Linked DNA regions of Caenorhabditis elegans. The protein of the gene in region 1 interacts with the protein of each later gene in a pairwise test. Each region holds a gene or a part of one and is shown in the gene's direction. Other genes may lie near its edges.

Region 1 (4,615 bases):
GTTTTAAGTGTTTCCGTCTTATAAAAAATCCCTCTAAACATTTCCGGCAAATCAGCAAACCGGAAAATTGCCGGAATTCAAATATCCAGTAAATAGGCAATTTGCCGATTTGTCGAATTTGTCGACAAAAAAATTCGCGCGATGTTAAAATCGAAAAAAAAACTTTAAAAAATTGAGATTTTGTCAGTTTTCTGCATTTTCCCAAAAATTTCAAAAGCTTTACGGTTTTCAAAAAAAATAATCGAAAATCAGTTCGATTTTTTGGTCCAAAAATTTTTTTTTGGTTTTATTTCAAAAATATTTCGAAAAAATAAATTTTGAGTCCTTTTTATCAAAAACAAGCGCGAAAAATTGATTTTTTGAAGGAAAAAATTGAAAAATTCGATTAAAAAAGTGTTATTTTGATTTTTAGACAAAAAAGTCTCGAAAATCGATTTTTATTCAATTTTTCCACCAATAAAACGAGATTTTCTTATCCTTTCCAAAAATGGAAATCATTTATTGTGACCGTTATTACTGTAACACAAAACTCGTAAAAATGCGTATTCCGTAACATATTTGACGCTCAAAATATCTCGTAGCGGAAACTACAGTAATTCTTTAAATGACTACTGTAGCACTGGTGTCGATTTACGGGATCTCGATTCTTGACATGAAAAAAGTAGTTTCTTTGTATTACCTATTTTCTCACTTTTTGCTTAATTTTTAAATCTTAAATTAAATTATTTGAATTCATTTCAAAAATCGAGCCCGTAAATCGACACATGCGCTGCAGTAGTAATTTAAAGAATTACTGTAGTTTTCGCTACGAGATATTTTGAGCGTCAAATATGTTGTGCAATACGCATTCTCACAACTTCGTGTTACCGTGTAATATCCGTCATAATGAATGAGAAAGCGTGTCAAAAATTTGGAATTCTCACATTGTTTTCAATCTAAAAATTAAAATTACACTTTTAGTTCAAAAAATTCGATTTTTTTTCAATTTTCGTTTAAAAAACCGAGATTTTAATTTTTTTTTCTTTTCAAAAATTGAAATTTTACACCTTTTTTTTTCAAAAAAAATTTCGAAACTTTCACAATTTTTTCGCATTCTCAGAATTTTGCATTTTCGTATTATATATTCCTAAATATGTCATCTCGATCAAAATATAAATTTACGAGATTTTATTGTTTTGGCCGCGTTTTTTTCTGTTCACAGGTCATCAACGCATTGAAGAGGGGGGTGGGGGAGGGGGACACGTTCGAAAAGTGATTGATCTTTCCCGCGGCGGCGCTCGATAGGAGACACCACTGCGATGACTCATTCGGGGGAAACTCACACAATTGAAGAAGTGAAAATTGAAATTCACTCCACGTTTTTTTTCAAAATTTTTCTCCACATCTCCCCACTGATAACAGAAGTTTTTGACTTTATTGCCCCACATTTTCCACCATCACTGCACAAACAATTCCTTATCGATTTTCGCCTTTTTTTTTGGCCGTTGTTTGGTTTTTTGACGTTACCTTGGAAATCTTGAAAAAATCACAAAAGTCTTTATTTAATTTTAAAATTAAAAAAAATTGTGATTTTTTCCAGAATTGTATCCGAGAGCCGCCTTGAACTGTTTTTTTTGTTGGACACTCGCGGATCGAGGACAAATGGCACAAGTTGGTGAAGTTAGTATATTTCGTAATCTCTTTTTTTTTTTTTTTGGAAAATTGAGAAAATTGTCGAAAAAGTCATGAAAATTGCAAATTTTTTGGATAAAAAAAATGAGAAAATTGCCATTATTTGATTAAAAAAATTAAAAAATTCCGACTTTTTAGAAAAAATAATTCGATTTTTTAGTATTGAGATTTTTAAAAAAGTGTGAAAATTTTGTTTTTTTGCAAATAAAAAACATTTGAAACATTTCCGTTTTTGGAAAAAAAAATTGTAAAAATTAAGATTTTTGGGCAAAAAACGTAAAAATGTTATTTTTTGATTGAAAAGATTTAGAAAAATGCGATTTTTTTGTCAAAAACAATTGGTAAAAATAAGAGTTTTCGGAAAAAAAGTGTGAGAATTTTGATTTTTTTTTAAAAAAACAGATTGTAAAAATTATGATTTTTTGAAAAAAAAGTTACAATTTTTGGGATAAAAATATGGGAAATTTTGGGATTTTTTAGGAAAAGTGAAAATTTTTTATTTTTTCCAAGTAAATGTGTAAAAACTGCAATTTTTAAAGAAAACATATGTAAAACAAAAGAAAATCGGAAAATTGTGATTTTTTGAAAAAATAAAAGACTTCAGATTAAAATCTTTATCTAAAAATTGCCAATTTTCAGACAGAAGTAGTCGCTGGAAATGTGCGAGATATTGTGAATCGACTTTCCCGAGATATGACAAATCGAAATCCATTTACAGTACATCAACAGGTGGAACGGAGAGGTTTGTTTTAGAAAAAAGTTGGAAATTTTGAAAAAAAAACCGAAAAATTTGAGAATTTCAGTCGAAAAAATGAAAAAAAAACCGGAGATTTTCTCATTTGTGAAAATTTTTCTTTTTAAATGTTTCTAATTTTTAAAATTTAATCACGTTATTTCGAGCACCAAATCTTTAAAAAATCATGGAAATCGTGGCGAGACCCATTTAATCCAAAACCGGCGCCTTTAAAAAATGTTTGGATATTTTTTCAGTATGTATAATATTTGAAAACTGGAAGAAAAACTATTTTTGACGAATTTGAAAAAAAAGATAAAATTACAAGATTTTTGTAGAATTTAACTAGAAAAATGTTCAGATTGGCCGTTTTTTTGCTCCGAATTTTCTAGAGCTTTGGTCCGAGAAAATAGGAAAATTTCTCAAAAAGCTCTAGAAAATTCGGGGAAAAAACGGCCGATCTGAAAGTTTTTCCAATTAAATTCCACTAAAATCTTGTAGTTTTATTAATTTTTTTTCAAATTAAAAAAGATGTTTTTTTCTTCCAGTTTTCAATTATTATTATTATAACACTGAAAAAAAGATCCAAACATTTTTAAAGGCGCGGGGCTTGGATCGAATGGGTCCCGCCACGATTTTCGTGATTTTTTCACGATCTGGTGCTCAAAAACTCGTCGAGGGACAATATTAAAATAGCTCTAACAATTAAAAAAAAATCATGAAAATCCTGAAAAAAAATATCTAAAAAATTCGAAAAAAAAAATTAAAATTTGTGTAAATTTACAAAAAAATAATTTAAATATTTTTTGCAGCTCCCCCTCCACAACCACAAGCTCAAATATACGTGGCCACGTATGCCTACAGCTCAAAACAAGACGATGAGCTAAGCTTTGTCGTCGGAGATCTCATCGAACTGATCTCTGATGTTGAAGATGGCTGGAGTAAGGGAAAACTCAAGTCGACTGGAGCCGTCGGAATGTTCCCGACGAATTTTGTGACGTTGAAGCCTACGCCGAGCACATCTGCTGCTGCAGTTGCTCCAGCGGCTAGTGCATCAACTTCGGCGGGCTCAGCAGCTCGAACTCCGGCAAAATCGATTGGAAGTGAAGTTGTGATGAGAAGCGAGCCGAAAGCTATTGATAGAACTCCGTCGACGGTTCGTGTAGCGAAAAAAATCTGAAAAATCCCAAAAATACAGATTTTACTTAAATATCGGTGCCTGAGACATCAGTTTTTATGGCAAAAATTCAAATTTTTGGAAAAATTCAAATAATTTAAATAATTGAAAATCAACAATTTTTTGTCGATGAAATCCGGAAAATTGGCAATTGCCGGTTTGCCGACTTGCCGGAAATTACGATTCCGCCATTTTACCGATTTGCCGGAAATTTAAAAGTTCCGGCAATTTGCCTATTTGCCGATTTATTTTTTGATTTTCAGCTAATTTTTCATTCAAAAAATATAAATATCCAAACATTTTTTTTTTAATTTGTTCCAAAACTCTTTTTTTTCAGCTTTTAATTGTAAGTTTCTGGTTAGAAGTGAAAAAATTTTTTAATTAAAATTTGTTACATTACAATTTTTTATTAAAGTTATCTTCGACAAAAACAAAAAAAAACTGAAAAATTAAATTTTAAAAAACTGAAAAGAAAATAGTTTTTTTCCAATTAAAAAATTCCATAAATGGCTTCTCAGCACTTTATTCAAACATTTTTTAAATACAGAAACTGAAGAATTTCACTTAAATCAAATAAATCAAAATTTCAGATAATCTCGGACCCGGCTCCAGTGCTCAAAGCCTTGGAAACCAAATTCAGCAGCACATTTGCGAGCTCTGCAGCCTCGGCGAGCACAGACGCAGAAACTACGAAAACGAAAGAAATGGCTCGCGTGAAATTTGTCTACAATCCCCAACACGATGATGAGCTGGCTCTTAAGGAGATTGATATGCTGATTAATATTACAAACAAGGTGCAAATTCACTGAAATCGGAAAAAAAAATCAGGATTTCTGCAATTTTTAGATAAAAAGTTGGAAAATAAAATGGGAAAACCTTAAAAAATCGGCGAAAATTAAAATTTTGGGTTTTAAAATTGTTAAGTAAACTAATAAACTAATATATTTTCAAGCAAAAAAATTAAAAATTTGAGGAATTTATTCTACAAATTTCAAGTTTAAAGTCTAATTTTTTTTCCAAATTTTAGACTTTAA
Region 2 (6,184 bases), on another chromosome or scaffold:
TGAAGATGGAGTTAGAAATTCCGAAAAGAAAAACGAAAAACTTGGAATGCCATTGGTGATATGTCATAATGATTTGAACGCGTCAAATGTTCTATGGAATAATGAAACTGGAAAGGTAGAGTTGTCCAAGAGGACTACGTGTCATAGAATATAAAATTACTCCTAATAATAAAATTGAATAATTTCAGATCCAGGCATTTATCGATTTCCAGCACGTGTCAAAGGGTCCCGTCTCCTTTGATATTATTCGTATTTTGTGCCTTGGATTGTCAGTGGAAAATCGAAGAGCAAATACTCAAAGGTATCTTTTTCTAAGTCTAAACATTTTCAATAACCGAAAGAAGTAAAAATTGAAATGGCCCGCTTTTTGGCCGAGATTTGAAAATCGGGTTCGGAGATATAAAACACATTTCAAAACAAAGAGTCAGTTTCCATTTTCCAGATACCTGAACCACTACTATACGACCTTCAAATCTCATTTTTCCACGGCTCCCTTCACTTTCTCCCAACTCGAAGAATCCTATCGAACTCACTTCAATTTTGTGAATGCCACGTCACTATTCAGTCTGTCGTATTACTACAAAATGTATAAGGATGAGAGTTTGGATTTGAAAAGTGGAGCTGACGAAAGGGAACACAAAGCTCAGGAGATTTTGAGACGGACTATCGGAATTTTGGATGATATGTAATAGAAGAATATTTTTTAAAGATTTTTATATTATACATTAAAACAAATAAACTACTACTAATATTTGGAATTTTTTAAATTTTGATGATGAACAAAGTTGCTTAAAACATTATTTCAAATATGACAACACATTTTAAATTCTTTACGAAACAAAAATAATCCTAGTAAATCTTCGGTAATACATTAAAAACATCAAAGGTTTCGTAAATCAATGTTAAACAAATTGCGAAATATCGTCCGACTTGCAGTCAAACACTAGAGTATACATATACATAATACCCTTCCGTAACCCGGTTTTTAGCCTCAAGAGATTACTCATCAGATCGACACATGTTTTCTTTTTTCACTTCAACATGCTGCGTCTCTTGTCAATTTGATCTGAGTAATCTATGGGAGATCAGCAAGAACAATTTGCTATTTGCTAGAAATTGATAACACTTTTTGAAATATTTGAAAGGTAGTTTCTATGCTAGATTTTTCTATGTTAATCTGAATTTTAACATTTTTCAATTGATTTTATGCAGTACCTGAAAGTGGTCAAAATTTTGGAGCCATCGAACGACGCTTCAATATTCCGCCATGCTACAAAACTCAAGATTCCTTACAAGCGTCTTTGGGCGGAGCTTGAGCACGGGTGTCATTGGAGCTTCAAACTTCTTGGCTTCCAATTCCAAATGAATCATTCTTTCAACACATCACCTCCTTCTCAATAATTCCTTATCACTACTCTTTTTCCAACTGCTTACACGTTTTTATCGGTTATTTCTCTATTCCCCTTTCTCTCTCAGTTACTCCGGGTGTCTGTTCTCCACAGTTTTTGCAACAACTTGCGTGGTTTGACCATTGATTTTTTTTGCCTCTTGTTACTTTATTCTTGATTTAAGACAGGAACCGGGTTTATGGAAAATGCCCAACGACTTGCCGTTGCTGCCTCCGAAGAATCAGCACAAACACTTGGATAAAACTATGATCTCACTGCCGTCGGATTTCAGGTAAGGAATAAAAGTTGAGGATGTTATGTTAATCCGTACATTCGAATTGGAATGTATCTGCAAATTCGTTCTTGAAGAACATTAGTAGGTTAGCTTCAAGCGGGATTATGACATGTCGACGTTTTAGGCCCGAGAAAGAAGCGGAGTTCTTGCACTCTCCCCTCCCCCACACTCTCTAACCAACCCATTTTTACAGTGTAATAACTTTCATCAAGATTTAGCCAATAGCTGATTGATTGTGCTGATTGTGCTTTTTTTAATTGATATAACATTTAGAAATGAGGAACATTTAGAAACATGAACAGTTTATTCAAAAATATTAGGCTTACAACACTCTACACTTATCTCATTACAACATTCTTTTATTATCATATTGACATCCATAGACTGAAATTCCAAGTTTTAGAAATCAGAAACCTTGGAAACAAAACTTACCATTTTGCTAGGTAATTTAGCTGACACAGCTGGAACCGCCAACAATTCAGTCATGAAAATAATCAGTGATAGAAACAATAATGCAAAACTAGCATACATGTCAACTATGAATATTAAGTTTAAAATTGTTATGTAGTACCTAATCACACGTGGACTAGCAACAATTGATAAAACATTGTTATATATTATAGGTACCAAGCGTTAAATCTTACACTATGGGCTATTGTCGTAAAAAATAAAATAAAATAATACAAATCACGTTACCTGAAATTTTTTAAATTCTCAATTTTTTCGCAATTCGCCATTTTAATTGTTTAAAAAGATATGAGAGGAGGAGAGTTAAGACACTCAGCTTCTCTGTACTCTCCCGTGCCTCCATACGTCTAAAACTTACAATTTTCATACGAATTAGTTTCTTACAATTAGTAGATTCGGAGACGAATTAGTTACATTCGTATTAGTTTTACTCATTGTGTTTTAGGTTTTAAACAATCTATCATAGTCAATTTTTATATTACAGGCATTTGGCTCATGTCGGTCCAATGGGATCATCGGAAATTGAAAATCTTCGGACGAGCGATAATGTGATTGATACGGTTAATGAAAGGTTTGTGATCTACAAGCATTACTTGAATTCAATGTGGATGAATAAAGAATTCAGCAGCTACTACATAAGACCCTCCTCGTCGAATAGTACACTCCGATCGCAGAGAAAAGAAAAAGATGTAGGGAACTATTTAATTACTTTTCTCCAAAAAAGTTCAACTTTTCAGAGAGTTGGACTAGATGATGCTTTCCCATCAGCTTCAAAAAGTGAAGAAGAGGTTGAAGTTGTCAGAGGTTACGAGAATCAACCAACATCCCACCAATACATAAATATTGCTCCACCACGTCCGAGCAAGAAAAATTATAAGGCTCCAGCTCCCCCTACTCCTCCTCCACAGTGAGTATTTGTATGACATTTTCTAACAACACAGTTTTTGAATTAGTTTTTTACCTCAATTCCAAGAAGTACTTCCTTTAGAATTAAGTTTCTTACTGGCGCTTTCAAATTTGACAACTGAATCAAAAGTTGGTTGAGAATTAAACTTTCAGGAACAGCAAGCCGAATTTGATCTTCAACGCCCAAGACGACGAGGAGGAAACATCAGAAATCTCAGAGCAACCTGTAGTTTTTCGGTATTTCTTGATTGGACCCTGAAGTTTAAAAATTTTTCAATTTTCAGGTCAATCTCCCACACTTCGAATATCTCAACACACATAGCTCCACCTCCAAAAATCCAAACCGCCGACCGAATCGTTGCACCGAAGCCTAACTCTCTGGTGATCGAAAGACCGGGTGATCTTGGTGGTGCTTTTAGTTTCGGTCTCGATGATTGCATTCCAATTGTTAAAAGTACACCACCTCTCAATACACTTTCTCCGTTGCATCGGCCTTTGGCAATCCCGAAGAATCAGGAGGAGACACCGATATTGAGTCCGGCGAGTCCGCCGGATGACTCGAATTATATGTCAACTATTCGGAGCACATCCGTTCAAGGGAGAAAGATCTTGGATGAGCTTGACGATTGGTTGGATGACCTGGATGATCTCGATAGGGATCAATTATCCACAATCAGTACTGACGAATCGGGTTATCCGACGCTTGCACTAGAAAAAGATCGGGCTTTTATGAAGCATTTGGTGGAGAAGTATGAGTTGGGGGTAGCTCCAGAGACAATTAGACTTCGGAAGAAAAAAGGACCGGCTCCAAAAGCTCCAAGCCTCCCTCCAGACCTCTCCTCTCCAACATTCCAAGCTCCAGGATTTATTCCTGCGTTCTCCGCTCGGCCTGTGAGTATGCCTCCCAACCGACCACCTCCCTCATATGAAGCTCCAAGCTTTGATGCTCCCGAAGCTCCTGGTACAGTATTAATCAATGGAAGAGCCTTGACAAAGCAAAATGCGCTAGACCTCCGCTCAAGTGACGAAAGTGGAGTACCTCCTGCAATTGCCAGGTTCTTATATGATAAGAGGATCAAGTCAGCAACAATGCCAATGTCCATCGGAAGAATGACGTCTTCATCTGGGAACACGGATGTTTCCACTACCTCGTCAAGATCAAATGCAGATACTGTGTCAAGTATTCTGTCGACGGTTGGGGAGGATGATGATGTGGAAGTTCTGAAAAGGGATCGGGAAGTTGAAGAAGAGTTTGTACCGCCCGTGCCAAAGCCGAGGAGCAGAAAGACGGTAAGCTTTCTTGTGTGATCCACAAGATCAGTTATGTAGGTGCAACATTAAGAGAGGAATTACGGAATTAAAGTATTACTTTCAACTTTTGAATCATATTTCTGACCATTTGATGAGTCACCATAAAATAGATATTTGTGAATCTGAATGAGAGGGGGGGGGGGCAAAAGTTTCAAGAACGGGTGCTCCTGAACCTAAACGATATTTGCTCCAATTACTTGGATCTAGTCGTACTCACGATTTTCACAGTTATTCTCACATTTTCGAAAGCAAATCAGTTCCGCTACCCTTTGACCTGATTCTATAATTTATTCTCTCCCCTCTAGAACAAATATAAATCTATTTAAATGAAACCGATACAAACATCAAAAAGTCAACAATCACCAATGTTCTTCTTCATTTGTTTTTCTTCGCAGGTCTCAACGGAACCGTTAAAAGAAGAAGAAGAAGAAAATGTCGAAGAGGAGATAAAGGGCGAAAACGTGATTGGGGAGGAGTTTCAAGTGGTGGGAGATACAAAAATAAATGATGAACAAGAAGATCGGGTGGAAGCGACAAAAGACAAGGTAACTAGTAGTGATAAAAGATCAATCGCCAAGATAAGCTTATTGGAATTTGAAATAGTTTGCTAATTACCCCTAGTTTCCAATTTTTCCGAGAAAGTACTTTTGTTGATTGGAACTGCCATTCATAGGATCACAAGGTGATCGAAAACAAAAAGAAGCAGCTGACTACTTGCGAATTTCCAGTAGAAATAGATTTAGAGAAGCAAGAAATTCGAGAAATTCTTTAGACAAAATTTTTCTTTGGAATGGTGGGTCATGGGTCCGCACGTACCCAAGTTTCTCTCTGAGACTGAGCAAAATGTATAAGTGGGCTCTCAATACAATTTTCTGTCATAGGTACGTGCAGACATTTTTAAGCAAACGATCGATCAAACCAAGTAATGAGCAAAAATAGTGCTAATAGGTTAAGATTTCCTACGAGGCAGGTTGCATACCCTAGCAGATATTTCTAAATAGATTTTGTACCAAATATCATTAACTGGGGAGCCTTCAGTAGTTGTCCTATTTCCTGGCACTTGTTAATTTTCAAAAAATTATTCAAATTCCCACTATTTTCAGATTAATGACGCTTTCATCATGCTTCCACCACCTTCAGCAGCCGCAATGATCCCATCAGATTCAGAATCCGAAGACGACGATAATTTCATTATTACTCGATTTTAAATTATTTGTTTTACTTAAATTCTTAACTAAACTCTAGTCAATTGTCTCTCTACATTCCAGTGCCAAACCACCATTCCATTAAAAATAAATTTCTCAAATAAAACCGATTCGATTTGCGAAAAAAGCAATATATTTTATTTTCATTTCTTCACAGCACAAAAAATAACAATTTGGAAGGTATGTACAGAATCCGTTTCGATCAAACGCGTCAATGGGAGGTTTCAAGCAACTTTTTCAGATGCTCCTCGGCGGCTTCCAGATCATCACGGAGATAACGGAGTTTTGCAGGGGTCACAAATTCCTCGTTGTATACGTTTTTCTGGAAAAGTAAAAGGGTTTAAAGGGTGGAATGGGATAATCTTTTGTGGCCTACACTATCTTTTTTAAGTTGTTAACTGATCTACAATCTCGAAAATTCCCCGTAAAACTGCAATTTTTGAGTAATATGTTCAGTTACAGCCTTTTGGAAACTCAAAATCCTAGTGCTTTGTCATTTGAATTTTGCATTTTGTCCAGCGTACAGAATAGTTTTTGCTAAGTAGTCGAGAAATTTTATAATTTGACGTTTCAGAGAAATTGAAAACTATTTTTTTCCGAAAACGGGCTTA
Region 3 (7,954 bases), on another chromosome or scaffold:
TACAACTTATGTACACAGGGTTACTGTAGTTAGTGGGAAATGGTGATGTAGTTAAGAGTACAGTAGTTTCAATCTACTTCCTAGTAACGGTACGGTAATTTGAAAGGATACTGTAGGCAGAGTATGGCAGATTGGCGTTTGGATACTGTAGTTAAAGGCGCAGTAGCCTAAGTGTGAGCAAGAGTACTGTAGTTGAGCTTTTGCGGGTTACGGTCACTCTAGTTAAAGTTCCAAGGGGGGGGGGGGGGTTATGTACCTTTAATACTGCTGTGAGGGATATTACTGTAACCAAAAGTATTTTTTAATAATTACTGTAGTTTGGGTACTGTAGTCAGGTTACTGTAAGCTGGTATTTTGGGGTAAGAAAACTTGTCTAGGAGGTACGGCTGTAGTAACAAATAGCGAAAAATGTAGCAACAAATTCAAAATTTTTTGAAAATCGTTCTCTGTTGGTACAGTACCCAAATCAAACCACCACCATCACCACATAAATAGCATAAGACCGAAAATAATCAACACGCAACGTGCTAAGTGAACTGAATGAACCCAAAAAGAACGACCATATTTATGAAAATCTTTTCTTTTTTCTCTTTTATATGTATCTGCCTCCTGCTGCAGGCCTTCAAAGATCATAAGAACATGAGAAAGTTGGAGATGGTTTCTGGGTTCAAATCGGGTTGAACTCAAGTAGGAACACACCAGAACCCTCAGAAATCAGAAATGAACATTGCAAATATTTTTTTCGATTGGTAGAAAAAAAAATGAAAACAAGCATACTGTGTAAGCGAGAGAGTCTCAGGAATACTTGTTCTAGGAATCGGGAGAAACCAAAATAATTTTTTTTTGCAAAGTTGCATGCTTTATTCGATGTAATAATATTATTTGCGATAAATAAAAAAATTATTTAAAAAAATTTAAAAATTATTTTTAAAAACACCATCACAACACCATCGTTCCGAGTACTTCCAGTAGCAAGGAATCTCAATTTATAATTGAATAATTCTATTTCCAACTTGTCCAAGTCATCATCACTGCCTTCAAACCCTGGGGCGAATACTTTGACAATATCACGAATATTAGAAATTCTCCCAGTGCACGAGCCTTCGTTCAAAGTGGATGTTCTTTCGAGAAGCTGGAAAAATTAAACATTTTGGGGATCGGGATCCATAGTAAAGGTGGAGTAGCGCCAGTGGGGAAACTGTTAAAAACTACTCCAATTGTGCCGAAATGACCGAGTATCATAATAACACTCTTCAAAAAAAATTTTGAAATTTTTTATATACTGTCAAAAAGTGACAATTACTCAGTTTTTGCTACTCATAATTTTGGAAGTCGACCAAAAAAAAAAATTTTTTTCTACATTTTTTATACATTAATTTTGTTTTAATGATTCATATTAAAACGGGAAAACTGAGTTCAGTTTAATATTTCCGCGCAAAGTGATTACTAGAGATACAGGCATTGTTTTTGTTTTTTCCGCAGTATTGGATTTTGTTGTCAAACTTTATTACACACTTGATCAGCTGGGAAGAGCTTTAGGAATGCAACGACGGTGTGCACTTTCATAACTTCATCAGTGTTTTGAGATTATCGAGAAGTTCAAAATGTATTTTCAAACAAAAAAAGTATGTCTACTGAAACTATGTCTACTGAAACTGCTCAAAAATTTACTCAACTGAGGTCATCTACACTAATTTTCCATTCTTACATTACAAATCATTCAAGAATAAAAAATGTGCATACAAATAAACTGTTTATTTTTTCCTTATTTCCACACATTCCCACAAATCGGCAAATATGGAAGTTTGCGGAGCGGAAAACTGATATGATGACGCAAAAAGGGAAAAGGGGGTACACGAGGTGATAAGGAGTAAATATTGGAAACAAATTTTGATTGATTGAATTTTGAAAGCTAGATTTTTTGCCAAGTTATTTTTTAAATAATTTCAGATAGACAATGATTACAGCTGAATTGAGTGATTTCTTGGAAATTAATGAAAAGGAAAGTGTTCTCAGAGGAATATCAGCAAGTGATAAGGTTCTAATTAAATAGTTATAATATTACAAAAACTGGTATTTCAGATACTTTCATCTGGAATTTGTCAATTTCTCGTTGCTGAGAATGGACAATGGAGGAAACCAGATGAAGGAGCCGCTGTGGCATTGTTCCTGAAAGTGAGTAGTGACACAGTTTTCTTAAGTTGGATTTTTGAAAATTGATTTCCGAAACATGTGACTCTTTCAATAAACATTCGAGGGACGTGTCGTAATGGTTTTTCCATTGTGATTTGGAAAATTAAAATAAAATGTTTCGAACATTTTTCGTAGTTATTGTGGTTTTCTGAAAACGCACTTATAACTTTTCTTGGCTAAAACTCTAAATCTTTTGGTCTTATTTTCGAAATTTTAAGTTCTTTTTCAGAACAGTACGGAGCGATATTACCGGATAATAGTAATGGAACCATCTGCAGATCCAGATTGGGAACCAACAATTCAATTTGATTTTCTTATTAGGTAATCTTGAATATAATTTGATTTCAACTAACACTATGATTATAGAGACAAAAGGTTTGAAACAATACAGGAACATGCGAGATTACTCGTTTTTGAGGCAGAATCCAGATATATTGGATTGAACTTTTACGACTCAAAGGAATGTGAGAACTTTCACAATAGTGTTTGTAAACGACAAAGTGAGTATATTATTACTTGAATAAATCGAATTTGAAAAAGAGTAATATAGGAAAGGAAAGTAACTCCACTTGCTACATTTTCAAATTGAAACTTGGAACTTGAATTTCAGCGAGAAGTACCGATAAAGCAAAGCAGCCAGCATTGGAGGGAAAGAAGAAGAAGAAAAGTAGTTTCTATCATAATCCATTCAAATCCCACAAGGAACCAAGAAAACAAGTTGAATTTGGAGCACCAATAGATTTTCGGCATGTTGATGGTTTGAAGTTGACAGATGTACAAGAAGATTTGTATATGCAAGTTAGGAGTAGATTGAATGTATAGTTTTCCAAACCTCTATTGCCAAGACTACGTTGAAATTTCAGGTGAATAATCCAGAAGAAGAAGAGGAAATTGTGAAGCAATTGATTGTAAGAAATGAAGATCATATTAGACAATCATTGATGGTGAAAAAAGAGTCTCAAACTGTGAAAGGGGTTAAGGACAAACATAAAGATAAAGTCAAAACAAGTAAAGTGAGTCCGAAAATTGACAAAAGTCGACAAATAAGACTCCAAAACATTGTTGTCCAAAATTTGAAAATCTAAGACCGATTTATTTCTTTTTTCAGAGCTTTTTTGGACGTAACAAACCAAAAGTCGAGGATGTTTCTCAACCGATTGTACCAGTCATCACTGGTGATCCATTGAATCCCGATTGGACAGTAACCGCAGCAACATCATTCAAACATAGTCACACTTTTGCTGCGATCGATCCCATCAAGACTACGGACTGGGAAACTCCGAGAAAAGATACTTATGGATCTACAAATCAGCGACAGCCTCAAAACATTTATAAATTCGAACAAGAACACGTTGAACAAACTTATCAAATTGAGAAAATTGAAGTGGACGATACACCGACAGAGTTGCCAAGTAGAGGTGCTTCAAGAAATCCAGAAGATCAGATGACTAGAGGAGGTAGGTATATTGAATGTATTTAGTAAGGAAGGAAAGTTGATTTCTGTTTGGTACTGATTAAGAGATGGGCTTCAGTTTTCAAAAAAAAAAAGATAGGTGCCAGTGTTTGTAGAGCTTCTCAGTAGGCAGCTTCATTGCAACATCTGCTGAATAACTCTCAAATATGTTTTCAAGCTTTTACCAAACAGTTGCAATTTTGGAAAGTAAATTTTGATAAAAGAACTTGACTCAAGGGGGTCAAAGATTGTCAGATGTTTCCAGGAGTGGTGTTTTTTTAACTTTTATTATTATTATTCGGACATTCTTCATATACTGTTTATTTCCAGGTCTCTCAACTCCTCGAATTCCAACTCATCGTGACTCCTATCGTTGGGCTACAAAACCAGACACTGTACCAAAGCAGACTCCTCCTCCAACTCCAAATGCACCTTCACATTCTCATCAAGTTGATCAGTTTGCTGAGTTCAAACTAGTGGAACCTAAAACACCAACACGAGTGGCTCCACCGCCCCCTCCTTCGGCTCCGCCTACTATTAAATTCCCTATTTCGACTGGAACATCGTACTCTTCGACAACTCCACCTACCACTCCAAAACCTGCTCCTCCTCCTCCATCACGTATTCCAAATCCTTCTCCTTCTCCGCAACCTGCCGAAGTTAGTAAATCTCCACCACCACCTCCACCACTTCCACCGATTGCAACGCCTTCTTCTGTACCTCCACCTCCACCTCCACCACCGGCTCTAGAACAAGAAATCTCTGGGCCACCAACAGTTAGATTAACTGCTGTTCCAGAATCTAATTCTGATCGAAGAAGTCTAATGGATGTAAGTTTCGACTTAATCAATATTTTTCTATGAATCTTTTTTCAGCAAATCCGTTCAATCGATCGTTCACAAGTCTTGCGTAAAGTCAGTGATACACCTGACACGAGGCAATCTGTCCCATCACCGACGTCTGGAACAATTGTCGATCAGATTCAGAACTTCCTCGATGCAAGAAGATCCGGAATAAATCCAAGTGATTCGGAAGAATCTGAATACTCTACAGTAACCGCAGCAACATCATTCAAACATAGTCACACTTTTTCTGCGGATCCCATCAAGGATCCATCAGTGCTGCTGAATAGAAGCGCTTCAGTGCGAGTTCGAGGAAGTAAGTTGATTGACTGAGAGCGACATTTTGTGTGTTTAATTTTGACTTCAGCCATGTAAAATTCGTATTCAAACAAAAACTAGATTCAGACAAAAAATTGCAATTAAATTGTATTTTTATGCAAATCAAGGTCTCTTCATGTACATCAAAAATACATTTTCTTCATAAACCCTATTTAAACGCGATCACGGGTTTGTCTTTGAATCACCAAAAACAGTCTGAAATTCGATAATAACAAAGACTAGCGGGCCCTGCGGGCCCGCCAGTTGTAGGGGGTGTAAGGCGAGTCCCCTTGCCGGGCGTAGGTTCTCGGCTTCGCCTCGAACCTGTTAGAGGGTTCGTGAAATTTTCAGTGAGTCAATGTCTTCTTGATTTTTGAGTTCGGTTTGACCAAAAACAGACGCACCCCATGACTCAGTTAAAGCTGAGTTGTGATTGATTGAAGTTTGAGGAGGATTTATATGGGGGGAGACGTACCTATATTTTGTATAAAATCGAGTATTTCTATATAATATTCGAATCCCGAATACTCAAAAAAAACAAAAAAAGTTTGTCAGCTGGTAGAATTGAACCCACTACCAAAATTTCCGCAGACATACGCACTAACCACTCGGCCATGCGGGAGAGCTCAAACTGGAAGTAAGGAAGGTAAATTTCTGGAGGGAGTCGTCTTTCGATTCCGCTTTCTTCAATTATGACTATTTGGGGAAAGACGTTCGAAAACCGTTTATCACTGATAAGTCAGCGGGAAACCTAATTTTTGAAAATTTTATTTCAGCATTGTACTCATCATAAAATTCCCGAAAGGGAGACGTACAGTTGAGGGCTATATCTTGTACACAGACAGATGTATAGAAAAAAAAACAAGTTTTGGCCTGAAAATTAAAAAAAATAATATCTCTTGGCAGAGCATTGCTAATGCGACGAAACTTCATCTTCCATTAAATAAAATCAAAAACTATGAATCAAAAATACATTCCGCAAAACTTTAGTGGAAAAAATGTTCAGGAGACCCAGGAAACCACTCCCCCCAGTACTAAATTTTTGAATTATTTTATTCTTGAAAAATTTTCCCACTGAACTTTTTACAAATTTTATATGTCTCGATGCGTCTTGATGAGACCTACACGTCAATTTTTAGAAAACTAAGAAAACTTGAAAACTGACCGAGTTATGATTGAAAAAGTAGATTCACGAAAATAGAAAAGTGTGCAAAATGTGGCACTTATTCGTCTTGCTCGGCCGACTCATAGAACTTTTCTTAATTCTGAGTTGAAAATCGTGTTCAGCGTATTTTTTTACGTGGGGTAGAAAAAAAAGTATCGAAAAAGATGAAGTAGAACTTGAGATAAAGACGAAAAACTACTTTTTCGGAAAAAAATTTTTTTTTGGCAAAATGGCATTTTTTGGCCTTTTGTTTTATCACAACTTTTTGCCTTTTGCACTTATGAACTCAAACTTTCTTTCAAAAAATCCACCTCTCTGAGTAGTATCTTGCACATAAATTTGGAACAAAACCGAGCAAAACCCGAATTTTAATTCAATTAAAACATGGTTTTTTGGGGGTAAAAAGAACAACAAAAATTTTTTTCAAACTGGGGAAAGCCGCCCTGAGCTCAGTTTTGCTCCAAACTTTGTGCAGTTTTTTGCTCCACCGTGGGGCAAAATATTTCTAGTAAGCTGTCAAATATTATAAAATTCAGTCAAACGGCTCTGGAGTTATTAATGAAAACGTAGTGTGACATTTTTTCGCAAGCCAAAAAAAACGCGAAAAAACGCGAAAAAGGGGCGGAGTCTGTACACTCGGCATTTATTAGAGGCTGCTTGGCAGAATAAGAAATCCAACTCATAAAGTCCCATTTTCAATTTAGGATAAGTTCTTTCTTTGATTTAATTCCAAAATGTGAACTGCAAAACAAATTAATGATTGTCTCCTTGCACTTTTGAACCAATCAGATGTGCTGAGTAGAAGCCACTGATTGGTTCAAAAGTGGGCGTGGCTTCTCTTTTGAACGAAGTTCAAATAGGGAGATTTGGTAAAAACATTTCCGTTTACTGTAAATAGTTATTTTATTTTCTTTGTCGTATTTCTAAATTTAAAAATTATTAATATCATTTTCTTGGTATTTTAAAGCCCCCATTCACGCTAAATACACCTTCTTTAAAAATACACAGTTCAAAATATCAATCTTCCAGGTCTCTCAACTTCTCGAATTCCACCTCATTGGGACTCCTATCGTTGGACTACAAAACCAGACACTGTTCCTAAGCAGACTCCTCCTCCAACTCACAATTCCAATGTTCTTCCTCATATTGATGAGAATGACCATGACGAGGAAAATGATATTAATGAAGAACCACCAAAACCTCCGAGAAAAAGTGTTTCCTTTCGAGTTAGAGGTGGGTAACTATGTTAGTTTTCCCAATCATACTCATTGTTCAGAAAAACCAATAGCAGAGGCTCCGCTTCGTCCTCCAGCTCGTCCTGCTCCAATTGTTCCTACTTCGGCTGGACTTTCTTTAGTGCTCGCAGCCTCACTTCCCACTTCATCAACTCCTTCTCGTTTTTTGAATCCTTTTCCTGCTCCACTACCAGCAGAAGTAAGTAATTCTCCACCAACTTTTCTACCAACCGATATTGTTATTTAATTGAACAGAAATCTGACAAAAAATATGTTTGTATTGTTTTTCTGTTTATAATAATAATTTTTATATTTGTTTCACCTTCCGCTTATTTTCAGAGCTTCTTCGGGAATAGCAAATCCAAAATCGCATATTTTATAAAACCCACAAATGAGCAACCACAAGAACTTTTTCAAACTCCCGTTCAAATAGAAAAAATATTTTCTTCTACACCATCATCACCAGTTTCAAATGCTGCAATTATAGATGGAATGAAAAATATCAGCTTATCAGACTCCTCAACATCAGTTGCACAGGATATAGCAATGAAAGTACCTACACCGCTTCCTCGCACTTCAAAAATTATTTCTGCTTCTTCTCCATTACCACCTTCACAAGATGAAATTAATCCCTTAATTGAAGTAAGATTTTTCGAACTATTCATCTCATATTTTATGATTCTCACAATGAACATTTTTCAGATGGTGGATCAATCTAGTAGTAAATCTGAAACTCAGATTCCAGTTA

Evidence for each region. The genes of interacting proteins can lie anywhere in the genome.
Region 2: the proteins of cdap-2 (region 1) and F09F7.5 interact in a two-hybrid assay, tested with the Caenorhabditis elegans proteins (one large-scale study listed by BioGRID).
Region 3: the proteins of cdap-2 (region 1) and C31C9.6 interact in a two-hybrid assay, tested with the Caenorhabditis elegans proteins (one large-scale study listed by BioGRID).

What each region holds. Positions count from the first base shown.
Region 1 is NC_003279.8:3,327,638-3,332,252, reverse strand, and holds the start of cdap-2 (SH3 domain-containing protein), read left to right. Parts: upstream 1-1,579; 5' UTR 1,580-1,641; coding exon 1,642-1,659; intron 1,660-2,310; coding exon 2,311-2,413; intron 2,414-3,216; coding exon 3,217-3,560; intron 3,561-4,171; coding exon 4,172-4,375; intron 4,376-4,615.
Region 2 is NC_003281.10:5,545,538-5,551,721, forward strand, and holds F09F7.5 (CRIB domain-containing protein), read left to right. Parts: upstream 1-1,572; 5' UTR 1,573-1,594; coding exon 1,595-1,680; intron 1,681-2,635; coding exon 2,636-2,722; intron 2,723-2,776; coding exon 2,777-2,840; intron 2,841-2,888; coding exon 2,889-3,058; intron 3,059-3,210; coding exon 3,211-3,294; intron 3,295-3,341; coding exon 3,342-4,347; intron 4,348-4,763; coding exon 4,764-4,913; intron 4,914-5,471; coding exon 5,472-5,576; 3' UTR 5,577-5,678; downstream 5,679-6,184. Other genes in the region: putative kinase-like protein D1044.1, read left to right, coding at 1-115, 189-301, 443-689; F09F7.6 (Ferritin), read right to left, coding at 5,785-5,895.
Region 3 is NC_003280.10:13,656,085-13,664,038, reverse strand, and holds the start of C31C9.6 (WH1 domain-containing protein), read left to right. Parts: upstream 1-1,948; 5' UTR 1,949-1,957; coding exon 1,958-2,038; intron 2,039-2,082; coding exon 2,083-2,175; intron 2,176-2,422; coding exon 2,423-2,514; intron 2,515-2,559; coding exon 2,560-2,693; intron 2,694-2,803; coding exon 2,804-3,009; intron 3,010-3,056; coding exon 3,057-3,206; intron 3,207-3,301; coding exon 3,302-3,650; intron 3,651-3,976; coding exon 3,977-4,476; intron 4,477-4,521; coding exon 4,522-4,804; intron 4,805-7,000; coding exon 7,001-7,204; intron 7,205-7,247; coding exon 7,248-7,405; intron 7,406-7,545; coding exon 7,546-7,848; intron 7,849-7,908; coding exon 7,909-7,954.